Linked DNA regions of Mus musculus. The protein of the gene in region 3 purifies or fractionates together with the protein of the main gene of each other region. This does not show direct contact. Links are inferred from orthologs where the notes say so. Each region holds a gene or a part of one and is shown on either strand. Other genes may lie near its edges.

The links.
Region 1: the proteins of Prpf8 (region 3) and Crnkl1 fractionate together in Homo sapiens (co-fractionation; 3 studies listed by BioGRID, with this or other methods). This does not show direct contact. The link is inferred for Mus musculus from reciprocal best matches to the Homo sapiens genes PRPF8 and CRNKL1.
Region 2: the proteins of Prpf8 (region 3) and Hsf1 purify together in Homo sapiens (affinity purification with mass spectrometry; 3 studies listed by BioGRID). This does not show direct contact. The link is inferred for Mus musculus from reciprocal best matches to the Homo sapiens genes PRPF8 and HSF1.
Region 4: the proteins of Prpf8 (region 3) and Dhx15 fractionate together in Homo sapiens (co-fractionation; 3 studies listed by BioGRID, with this or other methods). This does not show direct contact. The link is inferred for Mus musculus from reciprocal best matches to the Homo sapiens genes PRPF8 and DHX15.
Region 5: the proteins of Prpf8 (region 3) and Rnps1 purify together in Homo sapiens (affinity purification with mass spectrometry; 3 studies listed by BioGRID and IntAct, with this or other methods). This does not show direct contact. The link is inferred for Mus musculus from reciprocal best matches to the Homo sapiens genes PRPF8 and RNPS1.
Region 6: the proteins of Prpf8 (region 3) and Smu1 purify together in Homo sapiens (affinity purification with mass spectrometry; 3 studies listed by BioGRID, with this or other methods). This does not show direct contact. The link is inferred for Mus musculus from reciprocal best matches to the Homo sapiens genes PRPF8 and SMU1.
Region 7: the proteins of Prpf8 (region 3) and Sf3a2 purify together in Homo sapiens (affinity purification with mass spectrometry; 3 studies listed by BioGRID and IntAct, with this or other methods). This does not show direct contact. The link is inferred for Mus musculus from reciprocal best matches to the Homo sapiens genes PRPF8 and SF3A2.

The regions. Positions count from the first base shown.
Region 1 is NC_000068.7:145,928,201-145,931,700, reverse strand, and holds part of Crnkl1 (crooked neck-like protein 1), read left to right. Parts: intron 1-272; coding exon 273-431; intron 432-1,000; coding exon 1,001-1,167; intron 1,168-3,401; coding exon 3,402-3,500. UniProt on the Homo sapiens protein: Involved in pre-mRNA splicing process. As a component of the minor spliceosome, involved in the splicing of U12-type introns in pre-mRNAs.
Region 2 is NC_000081.6:76,494,362-76,497,861, forward strand, and holds part of Hsf1 (heat shock factor protein 1), read left to right. Parts: intron 1-1,608; coding exon 1,609-1,717; intron 1,718-2,091; coding exon 2,092-2,228; intron 2,229-2,474; coding exon 2,475-2,599; intron 2,600-3,257; coding exon 3,258-3,333; intron 3,334-3,406; coding exon 3,407-3,468; exon of another isoform or gene 3,469-3,500. UniProt on the Homo sapiens protein: Functions as a stress-inducible and DNA-binding transcription factor that plays a central role in the transcriptional activation of the heat shock response (HSR), leading to the expression of a large class of molecular chaperones, heat shock proteins (HSPs), that protect cells from cellular insult damage.
Region 3 is NC_000077.6:75,485,400-75,489,576, forward strand, and holds the start of Prpf8 (pre-mRNA-processing-splicing factor 8), read left to right. Parts: upstream 1-1,377; 5' UTR 1,378-1,692; coding exon 1,693-1,792; intron 1,793-2,225; coding exon 2,226-2,394; intron 2,395-4,177. UniProt on the Homo sapiens protein: Plays a role in pre-mRNA splicing as core component of precatalytic, catalytic and postcatalytic spliceosomal complexes, both of the predominant U2-type spliceosome and the minor U12-type spliceosome.
Region 4 is NC_000071.6:52,187,747-52,191,676, forward strand, and holds the start of Dhx15 (pre-mRNA-splicing factor ATP-dependent RNA helicase DHX15), read right to left. Parts: upstream 2,801-3,930; 5' UTR 2,605-2,800; coding exon 2,534-2,604; intron 1-2,533.
Region 5 is NC_000083.6:24,413,436-24,417,474, forward strand, and holds the start of Rnps1 (RNA-binding protein with serine-rich domain 1), read left to right. Parts: upstream 1-1,239; 5' UTR 1,240-1,297; coding exon of another isoform or gene 1,298-1,299; intron 1,300-1,605; 5' UTR 1,606-1,727; exon of another isoform or gene 1,728-2,070; intron 2,071-4,039. UniProt on the Homo sapiens protein: Part of pre- and post-splicing multiprotein mRNP complexes. Auxiliary component of the splicing-dependent multiprotein exon junction complex (EJC) deposited at splice junction on mRNAs.
Region 6 is NC_000070.6:40,755,086-40,759,016, reverse strand, and holds the start of Smu1 (WD40 repeat-containing protein SMU1), read left to right. Parts: upstream 1-1,131; 5' UTR 1,132-1,214; coding exon 1,215-1,240; intron 1,241-3,179; coding exon 3,180-3,390; intron 3,391-3,931. UniProt on the Homo sapiens protein: Involved in pre-mRNA splicing as a component of the spliceosome. Regulates alternative splicing of the HSPG2 pre-mRNA. Required for normal accumulation of IK.
Region 7 is NC_000076.6:80,797,319-80,801,534, forward strand, and holds the start of Sf3a2 (splicing factor 3A subunit 2), read left to right. Parts: upstream 1-1,416; 5' UTR 1,417-1,487; intron 1,488-3,877; 5' UTR 3,878-3,914; coding exon 3,915-4,040; intron 4,041-4,137; coding exon 4,138-4,209; intron 4,210-4,216. Other genes in the region: Plekhj1 (pleckstrin homology domain-containing family J member 1), read right to left, coding at 455-521, 592-659, 763-856. UniProt on the Homo sapiens protein: Component of the 17S U2 SnRNP complex of the spliceosome, a large ribonucleoprotein complex that removes introns from transcribed pre-mRNAs.

The DNA.
Region 1 (3,500 bases), on a different chromosome or scaffold from region 3:
AGCCTGTTTCACCAAACATTGCTGTTTCTCACTGTGTTTCCTGTCTAGACCTTGACTATACTGCTCATGACCTTATGAAATAATTGCATGCTGTCTCTAAAGACTGTACGATAACTTGAGAACATCATTGCTTTTCCTCTTTTTATGACCAGAAGGTGGCCCATGATAGATAGATGCCTAACAACACAGGAGGACATTGCAGCTACTGTGAGGTGGCTGCTGCATATCTCACGGTTGCTGCCTTTGATGCTCTCCATATCTTATTTGTTAAGGGCTCGATCCATATACGAGCGTGCTTTAGATGTCGACTACCGAAATATTACCCTCTGGCTGAAATATGCAGAAATGGAGATGAAGAACCGCCAGGTCAACCATGCCCGAAACATCTGGGACCGTGCCATCACAACTCTGCCACGCGTCAACCAGTTCTGGTAAGCTGCTCATTGCACAAAGCAGTCTTTGTGAACTAGCAAATACCACTTGATTGGGTATTAGGTTTATTGCAATTATAATAGTTGTATGTGTTGATTATTATATTCTATTTTTTTAAAATATATATACTGATTTTTAATGTCACATAATCTATGAATCATAATTCTAATGTCCCATGGCTATGTAATCAAACTTAAATGTTTAGTACAATTTTTTATTCATAAGAAACTTCTTAATGAAGCCTTCCTCCCCTATGGATAATTCTTTTTCAGGTTTATATTTTAATAAGAAAACATTTGCTTAAACATCTTGGAAAGATAAAACTTAAAATCAACCAGGCAGTGGTGGCACACACCTTTAGTCTCAAGACTTAGGTGGCAGAGGCCCACCTGGTTCCAGGATAGCCAAAGCTACATAGAGAAACCCTGTCTTGGAAAAACAAAGAAAACAAAACAGAAAAAAAAAACCTTAAAATCTTTCATTTAACAAAATGTTAGAAGTGTCAAAGCGTTACTTTTCCTCCTGAGTCATTTTGACCACAGCAGGCGTCTTTGGATGATTTTGTCAGGTATAAGTACACATACATGGAGGAGATGTTGGGCAACGTTGCTGGTGCCCGCCAGGTGTTTGAGCGCTGGATGGAATGGCAGCCTGAGGAGCAGGCCTGGCATTCCTACATCAACTTCGAGCTGAGATACAAAGAGGTGGAGCGGGCCCGCACCATCTATGAACGCTATATCCTTTGAATAAGGTATTAGTGGTACATGGCTGTCATGGGTATCTACCTCCCAAAAAGATGTCACAGTAAAGACATGTAGCTACTAATGTGACATTGGAAACTAGGAAGGCAAGTTTCGTCCCTTTGACAATTTTCTGTAGGGTTAGAAACTGGTCAAATAAAAATGTGTAGACTGGGTCATTTGAGTCTTTTCAGAGATATTGTGGGTTCGTTTTTGGGTTTGCACAAAGTCCTAGCTGCTAGAACCAGAGGTCTGCATTGCTCATTGGCACTGCTAATGGAGCTCATCAGAGTTGACTGCTTACTAGCTGCGACTCCAGCTAATAAATGACTCCAGAGTCATCTAGTTCCTTGAGCCTTTGTGTCTTTTCTATACAAGAAAAATTAAAAACTAAACATGGTGAAGTCTAGGTATATACTCATGTATAGAGCATGTGCCTAACATATTTTGAGACCCTGAGTTTAGGCTTCAGCACTATAGAAAACAGACCAATGTTAACAAGTGGAAGATGGTGTTTGTGAAAACACTGTTAGAAACGGATCTGTGAAGCTCATCACCCAGAGGCGCCTTATTTGCAAATTGCCACACTTACTGAAATTTATTTCGAGTTCTCAATAATTGCTATGCTTTAGCAGTCATTTGCAGACATGTATAGAGCAATGGCTGAAGTCTACTTCAGCAGTATATAGTGATGCCTGAGTGTGAAGTCAGGAGCAACCCACTGTGTCCACAAGGAGTGCTCTCCCTCTCTGAAACCAGTGGATCAAGGTTCTGACACCTGCAGAGAGAGGGACAGCCTAAAGCTAGTTGCTTGGTGCTCTGAGCCACAAACACATGAGTAGATGACTTAGTTGCCGAAGTACTTGGTGCACAACAGGCCCGTGTTTGGATCTGTAGCACGCATTTACAAAGCTGCACCCAGCATATATCTGTAATTCCAACACTGGGGAGGTGGAGACAGGAGGATTCCAAGGCCTTTAGGCTAGTCAGTCTAGTTGAATAAGTAAGCTCCAGGCTCAGTGAGAGGCCCCATATCAAATAATGAGGTGGGGAGCAACTGAATAAGATACCTGATGTCAGCCTCTGGCCTCTTGCACCCATATGTGCTTGTGCGTACACACACACACACACACACACACACACACACACACACACACACACACACACAAGAAAATAGGATGTGCTGGCTTTAGAATTTAACACTGGTCTGTGGGAGATGTGTGCACGCATATTCCTCCTAGGATCAGTGGCTTGGCATTCAGTGGCTGAGAGTTCTTACTGGCTTTCCAGAGCTGCTGTAAGCAGTGAGAACCTTGCTGTGCAACATTAAGATCTTCAGTTGTCTCTACTCATTCCATAGTGGCTTAGCAGAGGCTTGAGGAACACTGGGTTTGTAGCTGATGGGACCCTGAGCTCTTACTACTGTCAGTGCTTGGGAAAACCCTGAAGTGCAGGAACTACCCCATTCAGCAAGTGCGGAAACTGATTAAGCAACTTGATGAGGGTCTCAGGTGGTGGCACTAGGGGTATTTGACCCAGGAAATGAACCTCAGAGCTGATGGTCTTAACATCCTTGCTCCCCTTGAGTGTATTTTCCCTGTGGAAATGATTTGGCTTCTTCAGGGAAGGCTGATGTGCTCTGGTAATAAATGGCAATTGAAGATTTGTCTTTAGCTTTAGATAGCAGCTCTCTTTTTGTGGCAGTTTGTTCTTTCGTTGTGAGTAGACTGTTGTAATGAGCATTTAATGGAATAGGTGCTTTTTATTGGCCATGTTCTTTTGGCCAGAAAGTGCTAAGCTTTATAAACATTTCCTCATTTCATTAAGCAATGATGGGTGAAGTTGATAGTATTTTTCCCTTTCCACACATGAAAAAAACTGAGACAGACATTTTTGTTGAAGATCACATGGTTTGTAACTGGGTTGAGGTTTTCTTTGGCTTCAGACTGTCCCACTGCTACAATACCGAGTCAGCGTTGAAGGGAGGTCAAAAGAGTAAGGTGACCTCTCAGGCTATAGGTTAGTTGCTAGCCTCCTTTGTGTGTGCTCATCCCCACTTGTATTTGGAATTGTTGGAGTTTGGGAGGTTAGTAAGAGTGGGGGTCTGTTGTGTGGGTGTTGAACCTTTGGCATGTGCTGTGCATGCGCACTGCCACTGGGCCAGCCTCAGCCTGTTACTGGCTTAGCCGCGTTGTCCTGCCTGCTCTTTCCTTCACTCCCTGCCCGTACTTGTGCTCGTGCACCCTGCTGTGAAAAACTGGATCAAGTACGCAAGATTTGAAGAGAAGCATGCTTACTTTGCTCATGCGCGGAAAGTCTACGAGAGAG
Region 2 (3,500 bases), on a different chromosome or scaffold from region 3:
GAAGAATGGGGACTAAACAATTAGTGTAAAGAGCAGAGCCTCTTTCTCTCACTGATACCACACTTCCTACCTGCACTTTCCCTGCTACTTAGGATCCTCTTCCTCCTGTGTCCACTTGCTCCACTGTTTCTGTTTAAGCCTGTTTCACTGCTCTGCGTGTTGAAAAAAGCCATGGTGCTAATCCAATACCTTAGGATCCTTTTGGTTGATTCTGTCTGTATTATAGTTCTCCCACCCCAGCAAAGAGACTGGTTCCTCAGCTGATTGGTCTTGCACACCCACGAGAATACTGTCCCTACCCACTGTAGGACCTCCCCACTCCAGTATCAAAGGCCTCTGAGTTGCCATGGCCCTTCAGCCCCTCCTAGTGGTTCTGACTGTGCTCAGGAAAGCACCAGCACAGAAGCACGGCCCCAGTATTTAACAGTTTTCATCTGAGTTTGAAAAAGAATAAGGTGGTATTTCTGATCAGGACTGTCTTCCAGAGCATCAACAACTTCATTCCTGTTTTGACTGCCACAATTTGGAGCTGTGTGTGTGTGTGTCCTTGAGCATATATGTGAGTGCCACATGTATGCCAGAGGCCATGAAGGACAAAAAAGGACATCAGGTCACGTAAAACTTGGAATTACTAGCAGTTGTGGGTTGACATATGAGTGCTGGGAAACAAACCCAGGTTCTCTATAAGAATAGTAAGCACTTGGAACTATGTCTCCAGCTATTCTTAAAGAAAAAATTGCTGGAGCTGAGACGAAAGGATGGACCATCTACAGACTGACACACCCAGGGATCCATCCCATAATCAGCCTCCAAATGCTGACACCATTGCACACGCCAGCAAGATTTTGCTGAAAGGACCTTGATATAGCTGTCTCTTGTGAGGCTATGCCGGGGCCTGGCAAACACAGAAGTGGATGCTCACAGTCAGCTATTGGATGGAACACAGGGCCCCCAGTGGAGGAGCTAGAGAAAGTACCCAAGGAGCTGAAGGGATCTGCAATCCTATAGGTGGAACAACGTTATGAACTAACCAGTACCCCCCCCCCTCGTGTCTCTAGCTGCATATGAATCAGAAGATGGCCTAGTCGGCCATCAGTGGAAAGAGAAGCCCATTGGTCGTGCAAACTTTATATGCCTCAGTACAGGGGAACACCAGGGCCAAGAAGTGGGAGTGAGTGGTAGGGGGGTGGGGGAGGGTATGGGGGACTTTTAGGATAGCATTTGAAATGTAAATGAAGAAAATACCTAATTAAAAAAAAGTTGCTAAATAAAAGAAATAAAAAAAAAGAAAAATTGCTGATTAAAACTAAATTCTAGTCAGTCCCTAGAGATGACCAGAATGCTGTGGGTGATTTATGAGTCTAAACCTAGCAACTAAAAACTGTCAGGAAGTTAAGATCCTGTCTCTGGTTACATGGGCCTCACTGCTCAGACCTAGGTTCCATGGCCCGGATACCAGCCATAGAGTCCTACAGCTACACTCACCTCCTGCTACTACTATGGAGGGAGAGTGTGCAAATCCACCACACATGGAGAGAGAGACATCAGGCCACAGTGAAACTATGATGGTGTCTGCTATATATGACCTGCCCATGTGTCTCCTGACAGAGTGGGAACAGCTTCCACGTGTTTGACCAGGGCCAGTTTGCCAAGGAGGTGCTGCCCAAGTACTTCAAGCACAACAACATGGCTAGCTTCGTGCGGCAGCTCAACATGTGTAAGTACCTCTTTCAGGATGCTATGCTTGCTTCACTGGGTGTGGAGAAATAGACCCCAGCCTATTTCTAAGAGATGGAGGCCTGGGTTGGCTGAAGAAGGGTCCTCATGAGTTTGAGCCTGAATTCTCCAGGGAAGAGTGTAGGATATGAGGCCCTAACCTAATGGCCACACTTCCATTTACAAAAAGGGAAGCTGTTCGGGGACAAAGTCTTTTCCAACCAAGAATAACTTGCTATGTATGGTAAATGGACACCAGTCAGACTCTCGTACAGTTTTCTAGGAGGCCCCTTGCCTGCCCTAGGCCATGGCTAGGCTGTTGAAGGTCTGGTCCCTGGCCCTCAAACAGAACTTCCCCCACCCCCATATACACAGATGGCTTCCGAAAAGTAGTCCACATTGAGCAGGGTGGCCTGGTCAAGCCTGAGAGAGATGACACCGAGTTCCAGCATCCTTGTTTCTTGCGTGGACAGGAACAGCTCCTTGAGAACATCAAGAGGAAAGTGACCAGCGTGAGTCACCAGCCCTGAGTACAGCCCCTCCCTGCCCTAAATATTCCTGCAGGCTATGGGCTGGGAGCAGTATCTAGGTGGTGCTGCAGGACTAGCCTAAAAGCATAGCCTGTGCTCTCTGTCTCTGACCCCCTCCCCCTTCCCAGTGTTTCCCAGGCCCTCCTCATTCCCTGGATGCCTAGGTGAAGCACAGGAGCCTACCACACTCCAGAGCCACTTTCGACTCTTGTATGCCCCACCCCTTAGGTGTCCACCCTGAAGAGTGAGGACATAAAAATACGCCAGGACAGTGTCACCCGGCTGTTGACAGATGTGCAGCTGATGAAGGGGAAACAGGAGTGTATGGACTCCAAGCTCCTGGCCATGAAGCAGTAGGTCCCAAGGCTCAGGAGGGTGGCCAGGTTGCTTTGGGTCTCCTACCCGATCCTGCAGAGCCATTCAAGCCTCCTTCCCCCTCCCAGCCTGCCTTCATTGTTTCTATGGAAACCCTGTCTTGTACATCTCCAGACACAGAGTGGGGTTGGAGGTCTCCTACTGCACCCACTTCTCACTCCCCTGCTGGAATTCACATTTTCAGGATTTGAGCACACAAAGCCCATTTCCAGGTGCCTCCCTAAAAACCAGGCCTGACAGGAGCTGACCACAACAGTCCTTGGGCCAGACCTCTCTACTGTTCTCTAGTCACAATGACTCAACTCGCCCTTTATCACTCACTCAGCACAGTTCACAGCTGCCTTCTACCCCAAAACTGAGGGTAATCTGTAGTTTAGGATCTTTCCCAGAGACCTGTCCTGTGTGCCTAGCCAGTATGTAACAAGTGCCCCATTGCAGCTAGGATCCTAAGGTACCATCAGATTCTATCCATGCCCTCCCTCAGCCCTGGCTGACGTTTGAATCCTGCCCTGTAAGTAGAGTGGAGTTAGGGAATCAGTTGTGCAGTGAGCCCTCATCTGGTCCAGCCCTGTCCATCAACAGCCTGATTCTCTGGCTCTTCTAATGTGGCCCAATTGACCCAGCAATGTGTTGCAGCGAGAACGAGGCCCTGTGGCGGGAGGTGGCCAGCCTTCGGCAGAAGCATGCCCAGCAGCAAAAAGTTGTCAACAAGGTGGGCAGGGCTGGTGGTAGGTGGGTCCCCTCCATGACTGGGCCAGGGTGACAGTATCCTTTCTGCCCCACAGCTCATTCAGTTCCTGATCTCACTGGTGCAGTCGAACCGGATCCTGGGGGTGAAGAGAAAGATGTGAGGCTCTGGGAATGTCTACACTGTCCACT
Region 3 (4,177 bases):
GATTATTTGTTTTGATACAGTCTCTCTCTAGATCCTTGGCTGTGCTGTACTGGAACTTGCTATGTAGATTTGGCTGGCCTTGAAAACACAGAGATCACCTGCCTCTGCCTCTCAAGTTCTGGGATTACCATCATGGCTGGCAGGGTTTTTATTTTTATTCTTCAGTTAATTTTGTTGCTTGAAGCTCCAGGCATTAAATCTAGTACGTTACTTCTAATAATCAAGCATTAAGCTCAAAATCTGGCGCCCTGAAGTCAGATTACCATGCTATGCTTGCCAGTGCTCATCATGCTGTGTTACAAGAATCTTTAGGCGTTGGGAGAGACAGCTTAGGGGTTAAAAAGATTTACTGCTTTTGCAGGGGACCCAGGTTCCCAGCACCCAAGTGGTAGATCATACCTATCTCCATTCCAGGGGAGCTAATGTCTTCTTTTAATCTCCCTGGGTACCAGGCATGTCCGTGGTGGGCAGACATACATGAAGGCAAAACATTAATGATTCTTTGTTTTGTTTTGTTTTGTTTTGTTTTTGAGGTTTGGTAAACACTATATAGCCGAGGAAGAATTTGAATGTCTTTTTGAAAAAAAAATATTTTATGTATATGGGTTGTTTGGGTTGCATGTATGTATGTGCACCATGTGTGTTCTGTATCTACAGAGGGCAGAAGAGGGTTTTCAGATCCCCCTAGAATCAGAGTTTCGGACAGTCGTGAGGCACCATGTGCTGGGGATCACACCAGGTTCTCTAGAAGAACAGCTAAAGCTCTTAATCGTTTAGTCCTCTTTCCAGGACCAGACTTTGAATTTATGACTATTCTGCCTTTAACCTCCCGCCCCTCCACCCCCACCCCCCACCCCCCACCAGTGCTGAGATCCTACAGGTCTATGCATTGCCAGAAATGGAATGAACCAAGGGCCTCCTGTACAAACTGAAGTACATTCCCATCCCAGATCATCATACATTTTTGCCAGCCTTCCTTCTGCCTTGGATGGTCCAAGAGTTATTTGACTCTTTGGTACATAGTTACCACTATTAACAGTAATGTAATGAAGGAATAGAAGAACAAAGGATTCATTGAGTAGGAGTTAGTACTACATATCAGCTCTGAATTCATGAGAATAAATATAGGGGAAATGTGCAACGTACGCAAACTTATTAAAATTGTATGGCTTTGGCTTTTGAGGAACAATATCAATAGCCAATTAAATGTCAGATCTATTAGAGAGGGCTCCTAAACTGACTGGCAGAAGGCGGGGCGTGAGCCTACCCTGACCACACCCCTCGCCCTGAAATCCGCTTTTAGACCCGCCTCTCCGGCTCGGGCTGCAACGTCAATTGGAGATGTCGCTAATCCATCAGAGCATCTCGGCGTCTATTGGATGAGCTTCTGAGCCTGGTTGCGCACTTCCTGGAGTTGGGAACGCGGAGCGGACGTCGTCTTTCCGCCATTGCTCTGCGAGCCTAGCCGCTACCTGAGTGAGGGGCGACAGGTGGGTGGTGGGCGTCTGAGGCTGAGCGCAAGGTAATCGAGTGGGCCGAGCGGCCCGAGGAGCTGCGCCAGGCCCGGGTCCCGAGCGCTCAGCCCGGCTAGAGTGCAGGCCAGGGGGCTCCGGACGTGTTCCATCTGCCCCTTGTGGGCCCGGGCCTAGCTCATTAGTTTTGGCCTGCCTCTCTATCCCAGATTCTCCCGGCATGGCCGGAGTGTTTCCTTACCGAGGGCCGGGTAACCCGGTGCCCGGCCCTCTAGCCCCGCTGCCGGATTATATGTCAGAGGAGAAGCTGCAGGAGAAAGGTGAGAGGCGAACGGGAACGGCGTGCGCGGGCTCGAACGTGTAGGCGGGTTTCATTTCTTCCCTCCATAGGCAGGTCATCAGGGGTGTGCTTATTAGCAGTATTTACATTTTTAAAAATTGAGTCCAATCATTGAAAGTTTGGAAGTGCCTGTTATTTTGCAGGAGCTTATTGTGTACGTGTGTGTGTGTAAAATGCATCAATGACGATAAAACCTGTTTCCTTATAGGGTTTGCATTACTATGTAGGAATTAGACAACAACCCTCCCCAAAACATCTATAGCAAAAATATCAGGTGGTTTGGGGTAGTAAAATGGCAGGATACTTGGCAGTGAGTATTTCTCTTCACAGCATGCCGAGGGTTGCCCCAGGGCAAGAGTTAGGGATAATTAGGGTAAATGTGTGCAGCCCTTTAAGCTGAGGTGCTTTTCTAGCTCGAAAATGGCAGCAGTTGCAGGCCAAGCGATATGCAGAGAAGCGGAAATTTGGGTTTGTGGATGCTCAGAAGGAAGACATGCCACCAGAACATGTCAGGAAGATCATTCGAGACCATGGAGACATGACCAACAGGAAGTTCCGTCATGACAAAAGGGTCTATTTGGGGTGAGTAACATCCCAGGATAATATCATATGGAGTTTGACTTCTTTCCTTCCTCTGCCCCTTCATTGACAGTGCTGGATAGAGGGACTAGCATTTGGAATGTGACTTTTTAACTGAGACAGTTTCCCTGTGTGGGCATTTTTGCCCTGGATTTAGCTCTGTAGACCGGGCTGCCCTTTAACCGATAGGGATCCCCATGCCTCTGCCTCCAAAGAGCTGGGATTGAAGGCAGATGTCACCGTGTCCAGCATGGAACATGGCTCTAGGCTGTACATAGGATGACTGTAGGAGTAAGGCTAGGACCACTGGGATTCTGTGATAGTTTCCAGATCGTCTACCTATGCCATTGATTGTTTTGCTTTGCCCTGCTGGTGTTGTTGTAAAATGTCTGGTATTGTGGAACTGTTTGAAGCTCAAATTAAGACACTAGGCATTCTGGATGCCTCTTTGGTCACTATCATTCAGAGGTTTAGGATAGTTCATTCCTGGGGTCGCTCTTTTACTGTTAATTCTTCCACCTCAAGCTGCAGAGATTCTTAACATTCCATTTGGATACAAAAATTTGGCCTGTTAATTAATTGATGTGGGGGAAGCCTTGGAAGTTTTTTTGTTTTGTTTTGTTTTTGTTTTTTTTCCTTTTTAAAGATTTATTTAATTCATTTATATGAGTGTACTGTAGATGTCTTCAGACACACCAGAAGAGGGCATCAGATCCCATCACAAATGGTTGTAAGCCACCATGTGGGTGCTGGGAATTGAACTCAGGACCTTTGGAAGAGCAATCAGTGCTCTTAACTGCTGAGCCATCTTTCTAGCCCCACCTTGAGAGTTTTATTGCAAAAAATAATTTCTTAGCCAAAAAATAATTTCTTAGCCAGGCAGTGGTGGTGCACGCCTTGAATCCCAGCACTCGAGAGGCAGAAGCAGGCTGATTTCAGAGTTCAAGGCCAGCCTGGTCTACCGAGTGAGTTCCAAGACAGCCAGAGCTATATAGAGAAACTCTGTCTTGAAAAAACCATTAATAGAAATAACAATACATGATGTGAATAAAAGTACGACGGCAAAAAAAAAAAAAAAAGAAATAACAATAACAACAACTTCTTGCCGGGCAAGGTAATAGCATACGCCTGTAACCCCAGCACTTGGGAGTCTGATTACTTTGAGTTTGAGGATGGCCTGGTTTACAGAGTGAGTTCTATAACTGATAAGGCTGGACAGAGAAACTCTGTCCTAAAAAATAAAACATCAACAACAAAAATAACTTAAGCAGCCGTGGTAGTGTTTGCATGTAATCTCTGCCCTTAGCTGCAGAGGCAGGAGAATCATGGGCTTGAGGCCAGTTTGAACTACCTGGTGAGATGCTCCATCAAAAACAGCAAAGCCACGTGTGGTGGCACAGGCATTTAGTCTCTGTGCATGGGAGACAGAGATAGGTGAGACTTCTGTTCTATACAGTGAGTTTCAGGCCAGCCAGGGCTATACGGTGGGACCCTGTCTCAAACAAACAACAATAAACATTATTACTGTTATTATTGAAACTTGCTTTTGGTCTTCAGTGAATAGACCGTATTGGTCCTTTTTTTTTTTTTTTTTTTTTTTTTTTAGGAGTATAAGTTTAGTGGTATGATGGATGAGAGACAAATGGTTACCACATAGAACAGGGAAGGTATTGGAATTTACAGGAAGGGTAGAAGGAAGTTGCTTTCAAAGGGACGGGTGTTAGTTTCTACAGACTGGGTCCCGCACCAAGACATTTGAAAGGGAGAGTGGTATTAGATGAAGGTG
Region 4 (3,930 bases), on a different chromosome or scaffold from region 3:
AAATTGTACTTGGAATAATAATAGGCACTAATATACTGCTAGTAAGTATGGAAACTAGTCATCTACTCTAGATATTTTATATAAACTACTTTTTTTCTGACAGTCTCACTTTGGGAACTTCTAAGCATGTGCATTAACGTGCATACATAAGGATACTCATACTTTCATCTACAGAAAATTCGAGGAAAGCACTTAACACCAATGAGCAAGACAAGAGACAACTACTGTACTACACAGCCAATGGGACCCAAATCCCAAGAGCTCACTGATATTACATTTTGTATTTAGGAATAAGTATGGACTCCAAAGATGGAAATAATGATTTGTAGTAGCTTACTGCTTTTTTCTTTATACATTTATGTGTGAAAATTTCTTGCCCTTTGCATCTTATCATCTTATTATTTAATTTCAGCTACCACGGGATTGTAGTGAAACACATAATTACAAATTCTTATCAGGAATATTAAGAACCATTAGGATAAAAATGTCCTTCCCAGATTTCTTGGGAGCTGGTGAGATGGCTCAGACTGAAAAACTGGGTTGACCCCTGAGGCCATCATGGTCAAGAGGAGGTAACTGACTCCGTGGTTTCTTCTCCTGGCCGCCCCTCCACCCCCACCCCCACCCACACGTGCTGGAATGGAGACAGCAAGGTCTGGTGACAGCTGGGGTGACAAAATGAACAAGCCTATGCTGTCAAATACACTAAACAAGAGCAAAGAGGGGGAGGGAGGGAAGCAAAGAGTCCCTGGCAGTCAAAAGTGCCTTCAAATCAAGTAAGGAAAAAAAAAAAAATACCAAGCACAAATACTGTATTGCTAAAGAAAACCAGTTCTATAAGAAAAGGTACTCAAAAAACTTAGGAAACTGCAAAAACTGCCTTGCAGAATCTCTAGAAATCAAGGACTCTCCTGTACTTAGTGACAAATATGAAATATTCAGAGGAAACATGAAGCTACCCGCGATATACGCAAAGTCCATTTTGCCAATGTTGTATGTTTTGCAAGAGAAATGACCATAATCACTGTAATGTGGAGCCCCAATTGCAATAAAAGCATTGAGTCGTGAACATACACACAAAAAAACTCTGCTTGCACAAACTCAGTGTTCATCCCAATGTGACCTCTATAAGGAGAGAAATTAGTTGCATCTTAGCCAAATGTGACATTAACTTTAACTTCACAGAAGTTCCCCACTTTATCAATCCAATATAAATGCCATTTATGACAGGTTGTGATGCCTAACTACAGTACTAAGTTTCCTGTTGAGAAAAGGAGAATTCTACATACCACTATAATCTATGGAAAAAGCTCACTGCAACTTTGCTCTCCCTTGGAGAATATTCATGAGCTGTTTCTACCTAAGAACTGATGGAGCTCAATTACTAACATTTGGAATGTTTGCTTGAGAGAACAGCTGTCTTGGGATGTTTTATTATTACAATGCTTAGTGTTATAAGCTTTAAAAAAAAAAACCTACACAATCAAAACATAACAAACCTGCTTTCCGTATTCAATATTTCAACCTAAGGAGAGCGACAGAACGCATCCTATCCTGACCTATTCTCACACTGGTAGTTAGAAATCAATCCCAAAGGACTTTCCGTTAACAAAAACTCAAGAGACCACACATCTGACTTGACAGCGAGTCGGTGTCACAAGACATAAGAAAATGATAAAATCCTACAACTGTTTTGGACATTTGGACTTCCGTGGATATATTTTTTAATTAACCCAACAGATCCCTGTACTGCCGAAGCATAAACATACAACTAATTAAAATGGGAGGGTAGGAATATAAACAAAAGTACATTTTAAGTATGAACTGTGAAAGAAAAGACTGGAAAATGATAATACAACTGCTTACTTGCTAAATGCCCTGTCTTTGCGAAAAGTCTAAGAAAAGGAACTAAAATGCCAGACCAGGAATCGGTGTAAGCCTTTCTCAATCTGCACGTGGGTGTTGTTTGTTCAAACACGCTTAAGATCACTTTTTTGAAAAGTGCGTCCAAAGTGGGGAGGAGATAGAAATAACTTCCAGAGCGGAGGGGGAAATACGTGTTTTCACAGGCCTACCCCAGTGATGCTACTTAAAAGCAAAGCCGGCTTTTAAGCAAAGCAGGAAATAAAGGAGATGGCGGGAGGGCAGGCAGAGGGCGGAAGTTGGCAACGGCCTCTCCTGAAGTGCCTCAATGGAAGAAGGCCCTTCGTCTCCCGCCAAACAGTGCGCCCCGAGGTCGGCTCGCCTCTATCCTCCCCCAAAACAGACAGCGCCCGCCGCCGCCCACGGGGGCAGTGCCCTTGGCCATCCGGTTCCGGCTGCGGGCCTCACGCGAGCACCGAGGCCTCGCGGCCCGCTCCGCACGCCCGCCGTTCCGCGGCCTCGTGGCCGCCACAGGCCGCTCGCCCCGGCCGCACACACTCGGCACGCGCCCCAGCCGGCCGACGGCAGACAAAGGCTCGGCAGCCGGGCCTGCTCCCCGCCACCATCCAACAAAGCCCGAGCCGCGACTGCGCGCCCCGGCCTGGCTTACCCATCGGTCCCCGCACGCTTCTTGCCGGAGGGGTAATCCTCCCCCAGGTCCAACCGATGCCTCTTGGACATCCTCGCACTCCCAGAAGCGGACGCTTAGGAAGGAGGGAAGAAGAGAGACTCCGGCAGCCGGATCCACGCACAAGAGGCCCGCGGCTCAACTCGCGGGGACCCCCACCCCTCCCGCCACCACAGCCCGCTCCGTGCGGCCCGAACCAGGAGCTAAAATGGCGGCCGCGACGAGGGCAGGGCCTGCGTGCGCGCCTCCGCGGCGGGCGTGCCGGCGTGGTGCGCGCGCACGCCGTCCGGAGGCGGGAACTCCCGTCCCGCCCGCTGTGCGATTGGCTGAAATGGCTCTGAGTTCCCGCGGGCTCCTCCCTTTCCCCTCGCGTCTCTCTGAGAGCTGATCTGAGCTGCTGCTAAGGACCGAAACGCGCCTCAAGCTGTCACTTGCCGCCTGGAGTTCGTTGGGAAAGTTGAAAAAGCCTAGTCCTGTTTAGGAAATCTATCCAGCTGTGTATATACTTTTTGCTTTTAGGGTATGAAGCTCAGGAAGGATAAGAAAAACAAGATCACACAGCTGGCAAGTGGCAAAGCAGGACACAATTTATAACTCCAGAACGAGAATTTGCAGTTGTTGCGCCAGATGCCCTGTAGCGGTGAGAAAAAATGTTAACTTTAATTACTGTGACTCGTTTTGTCCATTCACCCCAGAACAGATAACATCTATTTGTTCAAGGTATAGGTGTTTTGTATAGGGTTCAGAAAATTGGAGGTAATCGCACTGGGCACTGTATTTTGCCTCCAATCCTCTGCCCTAATCTTGCTCCGTTTGTGTGTATATGAGTGCATATTAGGCACTCAGAGACATTAGCCCTATCTCTGTCCTCGTTTGGTTTGGTTTGGTTTGGTTTTTTGAGACAGGGTTTCTCTGTGTGGCTCTGGCTGTCCACAAACAAGCTCTGTAGAAGAGGCTAGCCTGGAATTCAGAGGTTAGGCTGTCTCTGCCTCCCAGTGCTGGGACTAAAGGCGTGCCCCAGCATGCCTAGTTGCTGTGCTCCTTAGTAGAGTGAACCCTGAAAGACATTTTATAGACATGGTTACCTGGACTGAAGGAAATCAACAAATAGCTCATCCATTAAGACTCCACTGTAATGGCAAGTTGTTGAGGCAAGGTGACACTTAAGAGGTTGTGTATCTTTCTCCCTTCAGCCATTGTGCATACTCAATTACATTCATTTCCAGAAGTGTGGGCGAAAGAGGTCTAAGGATCAGCCCAAATACAGGGTATCACTTCATGTCAAGACTCTCCTTTGCTGCTCCTTGGCTCTAGTCCCTCGAAAATTCTCAGAAGGATAATCTCTAAGATTAAATACAACAGAAACACAACAGATGATA
Region 5 (4,039 bases), on a different chromosome or scaffold from region 3:
TCTTAAATCCAACAAGGGTACCAGACCAAACTGTCTAGATCTGCTAACCCCACCCCAAAAAATGAATACCTCAGGAAAGCAGACTTCAGAAGCAGGCTCCTCTTCCTGACTGTCCCACAGGACACACCCAGCTCCTTGGACCGAGATAATCTCTTCTCTCCATCTCTCCGGGATCACCAAAGTGCACATTGGCCACTTTCCTATCTTTCACAGCAATATGTAATCCAAATCTAAGTCACCTTTGTACCTTCCTCCTGAAGCTCACCTTAGCTCTGTTCCTCTTTCTTCGTTCCTGCCTCAAATCTACTTAGATAACCGCGGGGATTGTGTGCATATCCCTTTCTTCCGCAAATAACGGAGCAAGAATGTGCTAGGCAAACCGGGCGGTGGCGCTCGTCTTTAATCCCAGCAGTTGGGAGGCAGAGGCAGGCAGATTTCTGAGTTCTAGGCCAGCCTAGCCTGGTCTACAGAGTGAGTTCCAGGACAGCCAGGGCTACAAAACAAACAAACAAACAAACAAAAGAATGTGTTGGCAAAGTCGGGAGGCGGGGCACTACGGCGGGTGCTACTCTTTAGCCTCGTGCAGAGACCAGATCCTCTATGTCCTTGCTAAGAAGTTACTGACGTAACCCCGGTATAGACTAGCGTGCCTCTTCTTCTCCCAGCGATCCTGAACGCCTTTGCTGTTCCTTCTGCCCCACGCATTCTTGTCAGAAATGTCTCCTGGGAGAAACCTCCTTCAACATTTCCTCAAACTTTTTTCCTTTCTGGCCTCATCGGCCGCCCGCTACACCCAGTCAGCTGTATCCCACCAGCACAGAGACCATATCTATGCAATCACCACTAACTACCAGAGACTTGACCATAGGAACTCACCGTCCGTACCAGCCTGTCCCTTTACTACAATAACGCGGCCTCAGCAGGGTGCCTTAGATCCTAATGACAGCAGAGGCAACCCGAGTAGCTCCATCCACACAGATCCGGTAGGCGCCAAAGAGCACAAACCTCTGGTGCCGGTCAGCCAATCATCGCGCGCTTCAGAATGAGCAAAACAAGTCCAGGAAACTTTAGACCAGTCGGGGAGGGGGGGCGGGGGGGGGGACCGTAGGCGCTACGACGCTCCGCCCACACACAGTTGCTGTCCTTTAGTCCTCCACCGCTAACTTGCATTGGCTGAGTGTGCTTACGTCATCGTCGCGCGACGACGGCTGCGCCTTCCCGCTTCTCACCTCTGACGACAAAGTTGCGCCGGCGTCCTGGTCTGAGAAGAGCGGGAGGAGGTGGCGGCCTTGGGAAGATGTAAGTCGGGGTAGGAATCCGGCTGCATCCGACCTCCGGGGACCTTCTGCCAGGCTTGGCGGGGCGCATCGTGGAGCCGGTTGCGTTCCTCAGTGCGGCAGAGGCCCGCCGGCGAGGAACAGAGCCCGAGGAGAGAGTGTGGTTCAGGTCGGGCGGAGTGGGAGGTGTCGAGGCCGCGGCCCGGAAGTGGTCGAGGCGGTCACCGACGGAAGGGTGATCCCGCACGGTTCGCTCGGCGGCGACCCGCTTTAGCCTGCAGGACTCCAGCAGCTGCGAGCCCTGCCGCTTCTCTTGTTTTCTTGTCAGGCTGGAGACCTAGGCTCGCCACACCGGGCCCGACCTGAGTAGTGAGTGGAGAAAGAGGGTGGGAGGCGAGGTCGATGTCTGTGGCCGGAGCGGACGGTGCAGATTGCGAGCCGGCCTAAAAGGTTGGTTTCCTTTAAAGATCTCTTTCCACGAGTGTCTGTCGGAATCCAGTGTGCAGTTCTCAGTTCTGGGCATTGAGGATCCGTCCTAGGATGGACCGAGCACGGTTACGGAGCTCAGCGGGAGAGGATATGGGAAGGTTATGGTTGATGGTAGAGACGTGGTGGAGGCTTGCTTTCTCTACCTTGTGTTACTTCGTAGGCACTGTGTCTCCGATGTGCTTTTATATGTAGAGAGTGCTTTCAGATTGCCAAGACGCCCTCTGCTCGAGATTTAACCATTTGTTTTCTCCTCTCTCTGACTGTTGGACGCACACCTTTCCGGAGGATGGGAGAGGTGACCAAGGTCCTGAGCTGTTACCTGAGCTTGAGTGAACAGAGACCCTCACCTTTGCTTTCTAGCACTCGACCACACCCAGCAAAGAGTTCGCTTACGCCGCAGTTCATAATTTGTAGACTGCTTAACAATGGGTTCTGCCTGTTTCATAAAGTACATTCCAGCAGGTCGGGGTGCGGGTGCACAAGGGTGATCTCTACCCTTTGTCACTGGTATGAAGCACTTGAATAGTAACCCAAACCCCAAAAGTACATACCAGATTTAAATGACTTAGTATAGAAAACCCACAAGAAATTTAGTAATTTTATGTTGATTATATGTTACAAAGGTAATGTTCATTTTGTTAAAAACTAGTTTTGGGACCCACACACTGCCTTTAATCCCAGCACTCAGATGGCAAGTCAGAGTTTGAGGCTAGCTTGATCAACCTAGGCTAGCCAGGGCTGCCTAGTGAGACCATGTTTCAATAGGGGGGAAAAAGCCTTTAATTTTGGACTGTCAGTACTTGTGAATGGTAGAGGTCTTGTTGAGTATACTGGGCTCAGTGTTACTTCGTGTAGCCTTGCCTGTCCTGGAAGTAGACCAGGACAGACCTTTGAACTCGAGAGCCTCATTTCCCAGTTCTTGTTTCTAAAAAAAATAAGAAAGGTTTCACTAACTTTTGTGACTTGGCTGAAAGGAGATTAAAGGGTGTGCTCATGGTTCACACTCATGGACAGTGCTGCTTTTAGTGATCTCATCCAAAAGTCAGCTGAGCTGTAACACAGTTAACTAAGCAGCCAGAAATCAAACTTACCACTGAGCTTTTAGCTGGGTGCCTTGCCAGATTGATAGATTGATTTAGCCAAGCAAGGTTTAGGGAGCTAATTGTCAGGATTACTTAACTTGGTAGTATGCTTTTGCCTGTTGTGCACAAAGCCCTGGTTTCAGTCTCCAGCTCCATATCGAAAGCCTATAATCCCAGGCGGAGGCAGGAGATTCAAGTCATCCTACATAGAACATTTGAAGCCAGCCTGGGCTAGAGACCTTGTCTTTAATAGAATAAGCCTTTGGTTCCTGTACTCAGGAGACAGGAAGGATGAGTCCCAGCAAGGTGTCATGGTACACAGCTTTAATCCCAGCACTTGGGAAACAAAAGTGGGGGAATCTCTGTGACAGCCAGAGCTACAGGATAGCAAAAAAAAAAAAAAAAATTAAGAATGAGTGCCACAGCTGGACAGTGGTGGCACAGGCCTTTAATCCCAGCACTTGAGAGGCAGAGGCAGGTGGATTTCTTGAAGCCAGCCTGGTCTACAGAGTGGGTTCCAGGACAGCCAGGACTGCCCAGAGAAACCCTGTCTCGAGAAAAAAAAAAAAAAAGACTTGAAGCCTGAAACACAGGCTTGCTTGCTTGCTTACTCCAGACCATGGAAGATAGCTGAAAAGATATAGTCCTGGAAAGAAGCTAGATAGGTAATCATTTGCCATTTCTATTTGTCAAAGTAGTGGAAGGGAACTGTTCTCATGAGCTAGACTTATTCAGCAGCATTTAGAAGGGCCCTGTTTCTGAAAAGATGTATTCTCGCCTTACACTTGAGGAAGGTGAGGAAGAAGAGTTAGGATGTATCCTGAGGCCTTTTTTTGTATTTTGCTCCAAGAGAAGTCCCAGGGAGAATTAGCTGTCTTTAGTTGAGTACTTACTGTTACGTGGCATTATTGCTAAACCCTTAACACTGCCTATAAGATCTCAACCCATTCAGAGGTTTCAACAGTTGTGCCTACCTGACTGCTGACTAGATCTACCAAGTCACATTTTCCCCTTATTTGTTTATGGTTTACCTACCTGACAGTCTTACTTTTTTTCTTGCCTTTTTCTTTTTTTTCTTTTTTTTTCCTCCCAGGCAGGGTTTCTTTATGTCGCTTTGGCTGTCCTGGAATAGCTCTGAATCAGCCTGCCTCTGCCTCCCCTGTGCTGTGGTTGAAGGCTTGCACCGCCGCT
Region 6 (3,931 bases), on a different chromosome or scaffold from region 3:
TGGGCATGGTGATACACCTCTTTAATCCAAGCACCTTAGAAGATCCCATTCATTGTAACAGTAGCATATGTCATTTTCTCTACTTAGTTTCAAACGACTCTTTTTAAAAATTTCCCTCCTTTAGTCCCAGCACTCAGGAATAGAGGCAGGCAGCAAGGCCAGCCTGGCTTACAGAACAAGTTCCAGGACAGTCAGGGCTACAAAGAGAAATCCTGTGTCAAAAACCAAACACAATACAACAAAACAAACAAACAAAAATCAAGTAAAAATGAAAACATAAACAGCATATGAGCGGCTATATTGAAAGGCTCTGGTTTTGATACCTAGCACTGGGGGGAAAAAAGGAGACTGTAAAGAAATTGTGTGGAAGGTAGACAAGAGCCATTAGAAATCCCTAAACTATCTCAATATGTAATTTCACAAGATAGACATGCCACTGTGTTGTGTGTGTGTATATATATGTATATGTATATGTATGAATATGTATATATATATAAGTGTATACATATATATGTACTTTGTCAATAGAATTTTAAAATAGCTCTTATTGGAGATAAGCACTGTGATGCCATCTGTAATTCTAGCCCTTGGAAAGTAGGGGCATCTTCAACTATATAATTAGTTTGAAGCCAGCTATAAGCTGCATGTCCATCCCACCTTTTCCCTAGCCTTTATTTATAAAATTCATCAATATTTATGTATGGTTTTTTATTAGTGGGGATTGAACCAGGGCGTCTGACTTGCTAGGTAAACACTCTGATCACTGAGCTATGTCCTCAGCTCTGTCATGCCATACCAGTAAGGTATGATTTAAACTCTATATTGAAAGGAGTCTCAGATCTGTTATAACTTCGCATTTGGTTACATTTCTTTCTCCGTAACCGCAGCTTTTTCCAACTTAATTCTTAGCTGGATCTGAGCGCGATAGCGCACACTTTTAATCCTAGCATTAGGGAGGCAGAGGAGGGCGGGACAGCCAAGGCTGTAGAAAGACTCCACCTGTGTGTACGTTCGCGAAACCGATGGGCATTCGTAGTCCTGCCACGCTTTCGCGAGGCCCCGCCCCTCACGCCCCGCCCACCTGGGCGTGTTCTTCCTTCGCCCTTTAGACCCTAACGGAGCGGAAGTGTCGCAGCGCGGCCGCCGGAAGTGTCGCGCGGCGTTGTGCGACCGGCTGTGTGCTGAGTGGGGCCTGGACCCGGAGCGTTACCGCTATGTCGATCGAAATCGAGTCTTCCGAGTGAGTCCTGCCGTGGCGTGTTCGCGGCGTGGCGTGTTCGCGGCGTGGCGTGGGGTGGAGTGGAGGGTGGTCGGAGGACGTTGGAGGGGGAGCTGCGCGCCGGAGGTTGCGGCCTCGAAGCACTTTCCGGGTTGGCTCCCTCTTTAGATGGGCCCGCGAGAGAGCAGCCGTGGGGCGGGCCGTCTGGAGCCCCTGGGCCCCGGCGTCGGGCTGTGCTGGGGCACACCGAGTAGACCTGACTACTGTGGTTTCCTCTGCTAGCCACACCGCCCTCGGCGCTGCCCGGGTGTCCGCCAGTCCCTCAGCTCTTCCTTCTGGTCCAAGCACTAGTTACCCCAAAGACTCTGCTGCTTCTCCTATCTGATTAGATCCAGTGTGGTGTATTGATTTGGTTTGCAATTTGCAGAGAGAGAGAACCTCTTTGTGGACACAGAATTTGAATATTGATTGAGTCAGAAGAATGAGACTTAGTGAAGGCGGGGACGGCGACGAGGAGCCAGGTGGGCGGGGAGTGAGTGACTGAAGAGTCTTGCTTGGACTCCCCAGGACTCCACCCACCGCCTTTTATTTTTTGAAAAGTAAAATTAAATTATGAAATTAGCAAACAGCTGTGTTCTGAGTGGAGGGGAGAGATACGCATGTTCTGAAGATCTGCAGAAAAGCAAGGTTTATTAATTAAGTCGGCGGAGTCTGAAACCTGCTATGTATTTTTAAGACTGAAGCTGGATGTGAAGTATGCACGTCTATGATCGCAGTATTAAATGGGCAAGTAGGAAGGCCTGGAGTCCAGCCTGAGCCTCTTCATAGCGATATATATATATATATATATATATATATATATATATATATATATATTTTTTTTTTTTTTTTTTTCCGAGACAGGGTTTCTCTGTATAGCTCTGGCTGTCCTGGAACTCACTTTGTAGACCAGGCTGGCCTCGAACTCAGAAATCTGCCTGCCTCTGCCTCCCAAGTGCTGGGATTAAAGGCGTGCACCACCACGCCCGGTGAGATACATATTTTTAACTCAGTTATATGTAAGTCGTTTTTTTCCTGGGTTTTGCTTCTGAGACAAGGTTTTCTGTGAAGCCGTAGCTGTCCTGGAACTCACTCTGTAGACCAGGTGAGTCTCAGACTCAGATTCACCTGCCTCTGCCTCCGGAGTGCTGGAATTAAAGACGTGTGCCAACCCCCAGCTTTATAAATCGTCTTTAAATGAATATATGCTTTGATTGCGGGAGGCAGACAGTAGACAAAAACAGTAAATAAAATATGACGCAGTAACAGATGGTCCCTGTGTAGAAAAATAAAACAGCGACAAAACGTGTTGGATAATGTTAGTCGGGACAGGAACTGCAAAGGATATTTTACCCTGAGGTCTAATAATAGCCTTAACGACCAATCTTTGAGTCTTGAATACCCTTCTATATGAGGAATAACTGCATGTTCATATTATTATTGTTATTATTATTGTTGTTGTTATTGTTTTAAGACAGGGTCCTGGCTGTCCTGGAACTCACTCTGTAGACCAGGCTGGCCTCAAACTCAGAGAGATTCACCTTCCTTTCTTTCTCTGCCTCCAGAATGCTAGAACTCAATTTTTTAACAGACCAGATTTTTTTATAGCATTTTAGATGACTCAATTTGTTAATTTTGTTTTTTTGAGGCAGGGTTTCTCTGTGTCGTCCTTGCTGTCTTGGAACTCACTCTGTAGACCAGACTGGCCTCAGAGATCCACCTGCCTCTGCTTTCTGAATGCTGAGATTAAGGAAGTGTGCCACTACTGCCTGGCCAGTTGATTTAAAAAGGAAAATGTCATTAACTATTTCAGGTTTAAAGTATTTCACACAAATGTCCAGTAGATCTAGTGATCAGAATAATAATGGCTACCAACTTCCTTTCAATCTCCAGACTAAATGACTTTCTTTCTTTCTTTCAGTGTGATCCGACTAATCATGCAGTACTTGAAGGAGAACAGTTTACATCGGGCACTGGCCACCTTACAGGAGGAAACTACTGTCTCTCTGAATACTGTGGACAGCATTGAAAGTTTCGTGGCTGATATTAATAGTGGCCATTGGGATACTGTTTTACAGGCTATACAGTCTCTGAAATTGCCAGACAAAACCCTTATTGATCTCTATGAACAGGTAAGAGTGAGGTGATGTTGACGGTTTTGGTCGGGCCCTTAATTGGGAAGCATCAGTGAGTCTCTCTTAAGCACTTAGGGATTAACTGCATGTAAGATGTACCTGTCAAGACACAGCAGGGTCTTTCTTTCTTTCTTCCCTTTTGGAAGATTCAAGATTTTTCCCAAACTGAAATTATTTCTTGGTATGGTTTTGAAGATCAGACCCAGGGAAACTGAGATTACTTTTAGGTAGTCATTAAATGAAATAGTTTAAAGCTGAGCATGGCCTTGAGGCCAGGTGGTATACATAATGCTTTCCAGGCCAGCCAGGAGTAGACTTTGTATGAAAGGAAGGAAGGAAGGAAGGAAGGAAGGAGGGAGGGAGGGAGGGAGGGAGGGAGGGAGGGAGGGAAGGAAGGAGGGAGGGAGAGAGAAAGAAAGACAGAGAGAGAGAGAAAAGAGAGAGAGAAAAAAATATTCTAATATTAAATCATATCATGTGATTCAGTTCAGGCACTGACCACCAGGAATTAACACACACCACTAAGTCTGACATAGAT
Region 7 (4,216 bases), on a different chromosome or scaffold from region 3:
ACTCAAGTTTCCCTCTGGCCTTACTGGCATACTCACACCCCAAAACACGTGTGCACTCGTGCAAGAAGGAGAAAAGAGGGGTACAGATAAAGAACCCCACTGGATAATATAGGTAGACATGATGCCCAAATCTCTACAAGATACTGTAAAGTTCTCGTTAGGGAAGAAGGCTGAGACAGGCCTTAAAGCCTGCCCGTACCCTACCCGTGGCAGAGAGGGCGGCAGAGACTGTTCCTGCTATACACCCCACGTTCGCAGACTGCACCTCTCTCAGTTGGGAACGGGCAGAGGGGTCGGAGAAGAAACTAAGCGAGAACCAGACCCAGTGGGCACTCTGAGTGATAGCTGGGCCAGTCCTGGGCCACCAGCGGACGCGGGATCCAGGACAAACGTAGGCTCCTAAGGGAGTAAAAAGGATCGGGTGTGCGGAGCAGAGTCCGGGATGGAAACTTACTGATGGAGAAGCCGCCCGGTTCTTCCTGGGCCACTCTGCAGCGCTCCAGCAACAGGGCTCCGAGGGGCTGCGCGAGACACGGCCATGAGCGCCGGCCTCCGGGCCGCGCGGGTCCCCCGCGCCCCCCACGCCCCTACCTCGGCCTCGTCCGGGCGGAAGTAAAAGAGGAAGTTGACCACCAGCTTCACCAGTCGCCGCTTGGCCACTGTAGGCACAGGGCGGTGTCAGCGCGGAACTGTTCTCATTCGCCCACCCAGGAACCGCGCCGGCCCGCCCAAGTGCCCCAGCCGCAGCCCCGACTGGCTCACCGCTGCCCTTCTTGGGGCCCCGCATGCCCAGCTCGGCCGCCATCTCTGCCGGCTGTCGGGACAGCGCCTGCAACTCTTTCTCGTTGTACCGCATCCCGCCGCACGGATCCGCGCGAACCAACACGCGCCCTGCCTCTCGGCCGCCGTCCTCCCCGAAGCCGCAGCCAGCGCCACAAAAGTCTCAGAGAGCGATCTCGGAAGTCCCAACCCGGTTACTGCGCCTGCGCGTTGTTGGGCTGGTTGCGCGGCCCTAATTTATGGGTCTGCGCGGTTGAACAGAGTCAGACGGGAAGGAGATGGCCCGTCCTTAAATAACCGCCAGACATACTAAGCGTGAGGTGTAAGTTAGACTCAGAGCACTCCACGATGAGCGAAGCGCCTTCCTGGGCCGGTGAACCCTAACGCTTTCCTCTTGTCACGATAGCCGGCGCCGCTAGACTTAGGGCGGAGCGAAACTGTGCGGTCGCTGCAGTGAGCACGCGCACTCTGCGCCCCGACGCTCCTTTCTCTCCCGCCTACCGAAGACGGAAGTCCATCCGCTGGGCCTGCGCACACACGAAACGCCGACGCCTTTGCTCCCGGAAGGGATCGCTTCGTCGGTCGTGCGCACGCGCGCGGCGAAACCGCGGCCTTGGCGGAGATTAAACCCGGATAGCGAGGCCTTAGCGTTGGTGAGGAGCTGCACAGTTTGTCGGTGGCGGCTGCTCCGTCGGGGAGGCTTGAAGGTGGGAGCGAAAGCCCGGGGGCGGGACGGGGAGAGGCAGCGGCCGCCCTCTTGCCTCAGGATCGGCGCGCGCCCGCCGGGAGAGCGCGCTCTCGCGAGGCCCGTTGGGTCGCCGCGTGATTGCTGGCTTGGGTGGCGCTTCTGTGGCCTCCAGGGTGGTTCGGGGTGTCCGAGTGGCGTCTCGGCGTGTATTTTGACCTCCTTGGTTGTTTCCGTTTCCACCTTCGTTAATCGGGGCCCTGGCGACCACTGCTCCTGTCCACCGGAGCAGGTCCCTTGCTGGGATTGAAAGATAACGGTATCTGCACATAAAAGGGATTTGTCCTGGGACCAGGCCTCCTCCCAGACCATTACCTTAACATATACCACGTCTCTGTCCTTATTGATCGTTCATCGGTAATCTTACGGTAGTCCGTGAGGTTGCGCATCTCCCGTCCCTGCGTCCTGGCCTCCTGTCCCAAGTTTCACGTGTGAGCCCCTCCAGTCATCGGCACAACTTTTCATTTATTTCAGACAGGGTCTCACTGCTTAACTGGGGCTGACCTGCAACTCGGTGTGGAAACTTGGCCGATTTCCAGTTCACAGACATTGCCATGCCTCTGCCTTCTCTCGCATAGTGGGACTTACAGCATGAGCCACCACACTTGGCTGTTTTGATTGGTTTTAAGGAATCGAGGGTTTATTTTGGCTGATGGTATGAAGGTGCGGTCTGCCGTGGTGGTCGTGTTGCAGCAGTAGTCAGCAAGCAGATAAATGCCCTTCCCCGCGTTTTTAAAGATTTTGTTTTAATGTGTCTGTGTGGAGCTTTGTGTGTGAGTGGGGTACCCATAGGGTCCAGAAAGGGATATCAGAGTCCCTGGAGCCTACCGCCACCCTTTTTTCTTTTATCTGAGATAGGATCTCACTGCACAGCCCGGTTTGGTCTCTAACACTAACCTAACCATCTTCCTACCTTGGATAAAGAAATGGGATGAGAAGTGTACACCACCACGCCCTACGTTTTCTGTGTTTCCTGGGGTTGGGAACTGTTGGTGGGCGTTTGCAGAGCTTGGTGCCCCATCCACAGAGCAAGCAGTGTGCTCACCCAGGCCCCAGTTTTGTTTTGCTTTTCTAAGATTTATTTATTTATAATGAGTACACTGTAGCTGTCTTTAGATACACACCAGAAGAGGGCATCGGGTTCCATTACAGATGTTTGTGAACCACCACATCATTGCTGGGATTTGAACTCAGGACCTCTGGAGGAGCAGTCAGTGCTCTTAACCGCTGAGCCACTTCTCCAGCCTGCCCAGGCCAGTTTTGTCCTAGTGTTTGTTTTCCCTCCAAAGCTCATGAACTAACTGCATTTTTGCAGTGGGTACCCATACACATTCAACCTCAAACATGTACCCCTAGGGGACCTTATGCATGATGGACAAGTGTTCCACCCTTGAGGTGCACCCTCACATCTGTGGCTGGATACCCAGGCTCCCTGCAGAGGCCAGGTATAGAGTCCTATGTTCTTGAAAGTTGTCTTTGCCAGCGGTTGAAGTGGTTTTCCATCCTGCTGTTGCGGGTGCCCTCTTGCTCTGAGAAGCCCATGCTGCCACCCTTAGACTCTGCTCTTGCATCTGGCCAACTTCATCTCTGGGAATGTGTCTCTTAGTAGCTTTCAAAGATGTAGACAATGCTCTTTTCAGTCCTTAAGTGGCTGAGTATGAAACATCCGACAAGCTGGTTCTGCCCCACCACTTCCATATACATCTTTCAGCCATTCTCTCGGCATCTAGAGCATCTTGTATCCTTTGCATTCTAGCCTCTTTCTCTTTGACAGCCAGTGGTATCAGTGTCCTGTCTGTCCCAGACACACTCTGTGGTGACACTGAGGTAACTAGGTACCTGGCCCTCAAGGTTCTTAAGTCAAATTTGCAGGAGGCTCCAGCAATATTAACAAGGACTGCCTCCACTTGTTTCCTGAGTACTGTCTCTGAATTTACCTATAGGTTTAAACCAAGGGCTGGGGCTGACACTGAGTAGTCTAAAGTGTTCTGTCATCAGATGACACTGCCTATAGGCTTTGGTTGAGCCTCAAAGATGGGACCCTTGGTACCAAGCACTCCATATGCCATGTGTCAGGTGGAGGAGGGCGTGTCCTTTAATGCCTGCAAAGGCAGGCACACAGGCCAGCCTGATCTATGTAGAGAGTAACCATGACTACATAGAGAATCCTCTCTTAATAATAATAATAATAATGAGAAAAATTAACAACAACACCGGGGAGAGGTGGCTCAACTGTGGTCACAGCTCTTAGGAGGATCAGGAGTTCAGCGAAGGGAATGACCTGCCTGCTGGGCTACCTCGTCCTAGCATCATGTACAGTGTTCTGAGCCTTAGCTGTCCTTACTCCCCCAGGTTTCTTCCTGTCCCCTGAAGCACCCAGGCCTGCATCATGGACTTTCAGCACAGACCTGGAGGCAAGACTGGGAGTGGGGGCGTAGCCTCCTCCTCTGAGAGCAACCGGGATCGGAGAGAGCGTCTGCGCCAATTGGCCCTGGAAACCATTGACATCAACAAGGTCGGGGGGAGGGGGTGCCAGTTCCCACATCCACAGAGCTCTCACATGCCTCAGTCCTTGGTTCATGCAGTCTAACGGTACATTTATTCACTCCCAGGACCCGTATTTTATGAAGAACCACTTGGGATCCTATGAGTGCAAACTCTGCCTGACTCTGCATAACAATGAGGTATCTG